Drosophila melanogaster: one gene and its partner. The protein of the gene in region 2 interacts with the protein of the main gene of each other region in a pairwise test. Each region holds a gene or a part of one and is shown on either strand. Other genes may lie near its edges.

Region 1 (3,833 bases), on a different chromosome or scaffold from region 2:
GCCGCGTAAATTGTGCAGCAATGCACTTGAGACACGCAAACTGATATTGTGGGCCATCGCCGGTTGGCGCTTCTTGGCTCTCATTACTCGGTCATAACTCACTGCGCCTGTCCGGTTGGTTCAAGTATCCCTAGCCACTTGAAAACCCATAAAGCCAAGTCGGCTTCCTCTTGCAGAAACATAATTGCTCGACTTCTGTTCAGCAAACTCCTTTTTTATGAAGATCTAAAGCGGTTTGTATACATACTCCGTTGGAAGTAAGTACTTCTAGTTACTAGAATATAGTTAGCACCAAGCGTTAACCTTTCGCGGCCCTTCATGCCTACTTAAATATGCAATACAAGTTACAGCTGTACATATGTATGTATATTAACCTTAAACTAGATCCATAATTCTGGATGGATGGTCAGTGCAATTTTTTGAAAAAGCCAAAATGAAGACACATCCCATTCATTGCCTAAATATGGAAATGAATTGTAAATAATTTATGTATGTTTCGATAACATTACTCCTGATACATTTTAGTAAAAGGTCCTTAGTAAAGACATTTAGTTAAAATTGGTTGGCTTGATGAAAATCGATATAAATATTTAGCTCAGAAATTGCGTGCATAAAAAAGTATTCAAAGGATATAAGTTATTTACCAGTTACCTCATAAGTGAGGAATAATTGTTTAAGCTGCCTGAAAAACCTAACACAAATTTTTTAAATAAAGAAAAATAAAAGCCTTTTAGAAATAACATGCCAAAAGTATGCAATGCATATCCAGGAAATCTAGTGATCCACCATCCACCAGTCAATCTAATGACACTATGGGAAACATTTCTTCGTAGATTTGCGGTTTTAATAGATAAAAATATACCAATACATTAACATATTTCACTTAAGGATACAGAATGAAACTCTTTGATAGTGACCATGAAGGGATTAAGAATGCGGCAATAGTTCCTCGTTTACGTAGCAACAGGAGCCGGAGCAGCTCCCTCCGGTTCGGCAGCCTTTTCTCCGTTGCCGTTCTGCGCCTTGGCTGCCGGCAGATCCTTGACTCCGGTGGAACCGAATCCTGCCTCGCCGCGCTCGGTGTCCTCCAGTTTGTCCACCATCACCAGTTGCGGATAGAAGATACGCTCGCAAATGAACTGGGCGATGCGGTCGCCATGCTTCACCTCGAAATCAACATCTGAGTGATTGAACAGGACGACGCCGAGATTGCCGCGATAATCCTCGTCCACCACACCGGCGCCCACATCAATGAAGTTCTTCACCGCCAGCCCGGATCGTGGGGCTACGCGTCCGTAGGAGCCCTCCGGAACCTGCACTTGCAGATCGGTCTTGACAATGGCCTTTCCGCGTGCCGGCACCACAACGTCGTAGGCGCTGCGCAGGTCAACTCCCGCCGCTTTGGCGGATCCCCTCACCGGCTCCAAAGCATTCTCGGTGAGTTTGGCGAATCGCAGGACGCACGTGTCGATCTTCATCTTCTTGGCAGCTGGAATGTCGGCGAAATCGGTTGATGGCATTTGGAGCAAATTGAGTTATTACAGGAATGCTTCGAAAGTACAGAGACTTTTTTCAGCTTACTTGCAGAATTCTGGTCTGAAAATAACGCGGTTTAACACAGCGTCGGAAAATTGGCGGACTTCCAGTGTTGCAAGATACCAAAAGTACAAATCGCCGAAAATCTACCAAAAAATCTTAAGTCAGCTTTGCATTTCTAAAAAACATATATACAACTATGCCTTGAGTTTAATTAAACAAATAATAAATAAAACAATAATTTAGGCATTAATAAATAAATCAAATTGATTTTATTAAGTAAAACGACCAATCACAACCAACCCTGATAAGCAACCCTATCGATATATCGATACTATTGTAGTTGATTAACACACCTCTATTTAGCACGTTGTTTTGAAAAATTCACTTGATGCGTTAATGTTAATGTGTTGATAACTGCAACTTTAAATCATGGCGAACACTTATTTCGATGAGTATGAAAACTTGGAGGTAAATAAGATTATAGATCTTCTTGTGAAACTGTACTCATAGTGACCAAACTACAGATCCACGAGCTCATGCTGAAGGATCGTCCTCGGCAAGAAGCCTACTACAATGCGATATTGGGGAATAAGGATCTGTTCAAGGACAAGATCGTAATGGATGTTGGTGCCGGCACAGGGATTCTGTCCGCCTTTTGTGCGAAAGCAGGAGCCCGTTTGGTCTACGCCGTAGAAGCATCCAATGTGGCCACCAAAGTTGCGCTGGATTTGATTGAGGATAACGGCCTGACGAACGTGGTGAAGGTGATCCAGTCGCGTGTTGAGGAATTCGTACTGCCTGCCGAGGCGGAAAAGGTGGACATCATTGTGTCCGAGTGGATGGGCTTCTACCTGCTGCACGAGGGCATGTTGGACTCGGTTCTCCTGGCCCGGGACAAGTTCCTCAAGGAGGGTGGACTCCTGTTCCCCAGCGAGTGCACAATTTTCGTGGCACCCTGCTCGGTACCATCGCTCTTCGATGATTGGCACAACGTGGACGGCATCAAAATGGACACGTTTGCCAGAAAACTCAGAACCCAAAAGTCATCCCGACCGGAGATTACACAGCTGAATCCGCAAGATCTTCTGCACGAGGGCGTCGTCTTTCACTGGATGAATCTGCTGGATGTGGAAGCCAGCGATTTGGACAGCATTCAGTTCAAGGAGGTAATAACAGCCCAGAAGGCGGGCAATCACCAGGGCTTCTGCATTTGGTTCGATGTACAGTTTCCTGGCGAAGATTTTGTTCTAAGCACATCGCCGCTATCCCCGCCAACGCATTGGAAGCAGTGTGTAGTCGTCCTGCCCGAGGAATCCTGCGAAAATCTGGAGGAGAAGTCACCCATTGCATTTCAAATCACAATGAAGCGCAGTGCTGCCGATATGCGTAAATACAATCTGGAGGTGGATTTGCTAGACCCCAACACAGAGGAGCATCCAGTGCCTTGCTCCTGTCACATGACGAAGTGCATTCTGACGGAAGCTCATCTAAAAATGATGGACACCTCATGAGTTACATGCCATCTCGGAATCCGAACAACGATCTGTGGGGAAATCAATTTATTTAACATGTTTAATACAAATACAATATATATCTCAGTCAAACTTAACGTCTAGTCCAGCACTTTCAAAAATTTAATTAAAATAACGCAGGCCGACGGCTTTAAATCAACAACCGCTGCAGCTGACTCTGAAGTTCCTTGAGTGAATGTTGAAGACGATTAGTGTCGGGCTTTTGGTAGCAAATATTCAGGCAGCCGGCCACTATGTCTTGAGCCTTGCCAACAATTCGTCGTCTGCAAGTTAAATGTGAATGTAAGTAAATCGTATCGGCTAGCATTTTACTTTTGCACTTACTTTGACCGGTACCAAATAGATTGTGCGTTGTCTGCCAGAAGCGAGACCACTCGTATGACGGATTGTATTAAATGCCACTCATTACCCTCGTTGGCCCACACTCGTTCGTTCATTGAAATCATTCTGAAAGTTTTTAAAAGTTTAGCCTTTAAACAATTTTATCTCTGCGAAAACCCTTCAATACGTACCTCGAATAGTATTCCAGGAGCAGTTCAATGTCCAAATTCATACTCACCAGTTTTTCCGGCACTATGCCCTCGGGAAATCGCAGTTGGCAGGCTTTAACTTCCAGTTCCCTTATGAGAAAGGCAAAGGGAAAGCAAACTCCAGACTCGCCATACTCCCTTACCAAGATTTCGATTTTCGTGAATAACCTATTGCAGCGCTCACTAGTTGTGCCCGGCTTATCCACAACGCTGTTGATAATCTGGCCCCAAA
Region 2 (3,926 bases):
TATGCTTTTAAAAATAGTTTCTGAACCCAACGTAAAAATTTGGAAAAGAACTGAATATGGCTCTTAATTCCTAAATGCAAAAATAGTAATAATAATAAAGAAACTCATTTACAAACTTTTTATCAACTTTTGCATGTTTAAGTTTTGTCCTTAGGATTTTTAATATCCTTCTGAAAATATTTGTTATGCCCCAAATTCTCCCTTTATTTGAATTTTATTTTTGACGTAATTATATATTTTAATTGTAATTTTCTTTTTGACGTAATTATATACCTAAAAAACTTTTCAAGTAATCTTGTTTCCAGGCAAAAGATTGAGCTTATGATCAATCCGCTGTCGCCAGATCTTCAAGACTAACATTTATGGAGATAAGGAAATCCATTTGAATTGAGAAAAGAGAATTGCTAATAGCACTATGAGAATTAATTTAAAATTGGCAAATGGGGACTTAAGGAAGCAGATTTTTCTACTACTAACGAATTTGTTGGCATTCTATACTATTGCGAGGTCGCGTGGTTGATAAAAATATTATTTTTGTGTAAACATAATTTAGTAATAATTGTGTTTTTCTTGTTTATATCCCGTGAATAAAGCACTTTGAAGGCATCAATTAAGGAACGTGTTCAAGCTTTTGTAAGCTTGTTTATTCGTTGATTAGAACGCTACAATTTGAAGTGACTAGCTAGTAATGTGACATTAAATTTTTCGGATAACTTTAGTACAATCGCTTGTAGGTCAACAGTAAAACTAACTAAATACTAAACCTATTCCTTGGAGACGGGTTTGCAGGCTATCATGTACACTGGAAAGAGTCCCTTGGGAAAGTTTTGTTGCTTGACCTTGCGTACAATGCGAAATCCGGCTTCCTTTAGGAAGTGTTCATAGCTGTCCAGAGGCCTCGTTACCGACGAGTCGTTCCTATCTTCCACTGTCTTCTTCGAGCTGCTCACGTTCTCCTTCAGACACAAGAAGGCGCCGGGCGCCAGTCCCTGCTTTATGCGTCGAAAGAACGAGACCAGATCGCGGTCCGTGAGATGGCCCAGGACCCACTGGGTCCAAACGAGGTCGTACTGTTGCGTAGGCGTAAACTTCTGCAATCCCACGTTATAGATCTGTCCCACCTTTCCACGGCTTCCGTCTTCCGAAGTGCAGTACTCCCGTGCTTTATCGGCAAACGCGGGATCCTGCTCGACAAGATCCACGCAGCTGAAGCGGGGGATCAGGAGATTCCGAGTCACCCGACCAATGCCAGCTCCGCAGTCGAGGGCCAACCTGTTGCCCGGCACGCGGATCTCGCGCAGGAACACATTCGATCCCTGTATATCTATGGCACTAATGTAGCCCAGGCCGCCGAGCATCCCGTTAACAGTCGCCGGTACCTCAGACCAATATTTTTGTGCCTTATTGTAAAATTCGGACTCCGGTGCGGCGACTTTGGTCGAACTATCGCTCGAAGAAGGGGACGCTGTCTTGGCATCTGAACTTGCGGCTATACTGCTATCATCCTTCTGCTTCGACGACCCCTGGACCTTATCCGTGGTCTCGTCCATCATCTGCAACTTGTCTGAAAGCTGCTCTTCTAATGTAGTCGTCATTTTTGTCAGGATTTCGAAGGCCGCATGCTTTGTTTTGTTTTAGTGCGATAACCAGGGCTCCTAAACACAGTGAGCCATTTAGGTTTTACGAAAGAGTGGCAACCCTTCACCAATCAGCTGTTCAACAAGCAACAAAATTGTCCGTTTGTTTATGTTACTAGTTTTTTGTTTAATTTTTCTATTGTCCGGACAAAATGACTCTCGATTTGGATGCGCATAAGAAAGATGACAAGTTGCTGATCACAACCATACAGCAGGAGTATAAAATTCTGGCCGAATAGTGAGTTTTCAGAGTTCACTGATAACTACGTGGAGTAAAACTAAACTTATTTAATTTCTTATGTTTTAGCAAAATGATTGAGTCGGAGAAGTTGAGTGGGATATATGTGATACCCAGCTATGCTAACTCCTTGCGTTAGTCTACCCACCTGCCAACCTGTATGCAGTCTTTAGCTAATTTTATCTTTTGTTAATAGAGTGGTTTGGAGTCTTCTTTGGCCGACAGGGCTTGTATGCGGAAAGTGTTTTTCGATTCACAATTTTGCTCCCAGATCGTTTTCCCGACGACAAAAGTCTTCCGGTGAGTAGGATCGGCAATAGAGCAAACGTATTTAACTCTACAAGTCCCCTTTAGAGCATAATTTTCCAGCAGGATGTGATTCATCCCCATGTGTGCCCGTACACCCACAGTTTGGACGTGAGCCACGCCTTCCCGGAGTGGCGCTGTGGAGAGGATCACCTTTGGCAGCTTTTAAAGTACCTGCAAGTCATTTTCTCCGATCCCTTGGACAGTATTCGGGGCATTGAGGTAGATAAGCTCAAAAACAGCGAGGCTGCGGAGCTGCTGATGAATAACAAGGAGGAGTATGTTGCTCGCGTACAGGAAAATATCAAGGAGAGCAAGGAGCATATATTTGACACCCCACCCACCGAAGATCCGCACTACATAGTATTCGAGAAGTTCCAGCAGGACGTGCACGGGCCCGTTCTGGAGCGCATCAAGGCCGGAAGAAGCAAGCTGACGGAGCCTTCAGCGCAACAAGCAAATGGTGGACATGCAACTGGTCTGTCATGGGTTAAGGAGGGCGAGTTTAAGCCACTTAGCATTGAGTAAAACCAATATACATATATTCTGTAAGTTATATTCTATCGTTGTCTCAATTTTAAAACGATTAAAGTTATTCAATTATTTACAATCCTCGTTCATGGGAAATCGCTGAGTATTGTTAACCCACTCGTTCTGCAACTCTAAACGTTCTCCGTTCCATTGGAAATGTGTGGGGGAAGCCTCGCCAGCGAGAAACTCAAAGTGCTGGCTGAGCTCGATGGCCAGTTTGGAGCGGACTAGGCCTATTCCGCCCACCTGTGGCGCAGCTGGATGATAGACCCTTCCGTTTCGCGGATCCATGTACAGTTTGTGGGGTTCGTAAGGCAGGGTAAGGACCTGTCCCGCGTGTGCATAGCTGAGCACCTCCGTATCGTCCTTCCTCAGCTGTTCAGTAAACACAACAGGTGTGTCATCGCACCTAATAAAATTCCTTTCGCGGCCACAGAGGGAAATGTATGGAAATTCGCTTTCATATCTGCTCGTTTTGTTTAGCCGCAGTCGGTTGAAAAAGAACTTGAGGAAATCCTTCTCCTTAAAGCAGCTGGTGAAGTTTTTCATCTTTGCATCGTCCAGGAAGAGCTGCAAAACGGGTTATGCGAGTTGAAGCACAGATGCATAGTTGAGAGTCTCACCATTCCCTCATGATCGATATAGTAAAAGTATTCGCGAATTTTTGGCTCCGGAGATTGACCTTGGTTATATTGTACGTAACGGCAAGATATGCTTGGAGATCTAACGAATTTTAGGTTTGTAAGGGATCTAGAACGTAGTATAAACATTGTTCCTCTATCTGAGTACTGTGTCTTCTTATGAGCAACAAAAACAGCTGACTTTTGTTTACTACATCTGTAGGTGCATTTGATAACCTCCCATTATCAATTTAACGTTTTTACAGTTTTGTATTTTCTCAATAGGTAGCGATTATTTTTGCAAGTACATTTTTTGGCAGTCACATATTTTTGCATCGCGAATACAGCGATATACAGAAATGAAAACATTTTATTTAAAAAAAGGTGGCTATGTGACTGTCTATTGAATTCGACATTTGGTCGAAAAGCTCAGGTTTTGCTTAAAATAGCAAAGTGAAAACTACCAAAAAGTATGCTAAGCTTTTATTTAATGAAATATCCGTTAAAAATTTAAAACACAGTTTGGTTTAATTAGTAGTAAATCGTGCAAAATTATAAATAATTTTGAAAATAATAATTATTTCATTTGCAATA

The links.
Region 1: the proteins of Ntmt (region 2) and Art8 interact in a two-hybrid assay, tested with the Drosophila melanogaster proteins (2 studies listed by BioGRID).

The regions. Positions count from the first base shown.
Region 1 is NT_033779.5:11,009,128-11,012,960, reverse strand, and holds Art8 (arginine methyltransferase 8), read left to right. Parts: upstream 1-1,874; 5' UTR 1,875-1,968; coding exon 1,969-2,007; intron 2,008-2,039; exon of another isoform or gene 2,040-2,063; coding exon 2,064-3,050; 3' UTR 3,051-3,140; downstream 3,141-3,833. Other genes in the region: dUTPase (deoxyuridine triphosphatase), read right to left, coding at 954-1,520; Nup154 (nucleoporin 154kD), read right to left, coding at 3,202-3,334, 3,396-3,518, 3,584-3,833.
Region 2 is NT_033778.4:9,863,373-9,867,298, reverse strand, and holds Ntmt (N-terminal methyltransferase), read right to left. Parts: upstream 1,668-3,926; 5' UTR 1,596-1,667; coding exon 765-1,595; 3' UTR 248-764; downstream 1-247. Other genes in the region: peo (pendolino), read left to right, coding at 1,790-1,875, 1,945-2,009, 2,072-2,175, 2,230-2,709; CG30010 (uncharacterized protein), read right to left, coding at 2,782-3,282, 3,336-3,482. UniProt on the Drosophila melanogaster protein: Alpha-N-methyltransferase that methylates the N-terminus of target proteins containing the N-terminal motif [Ala/Pro/Ser]-Pro-Lys when the initiator Met is cleaved.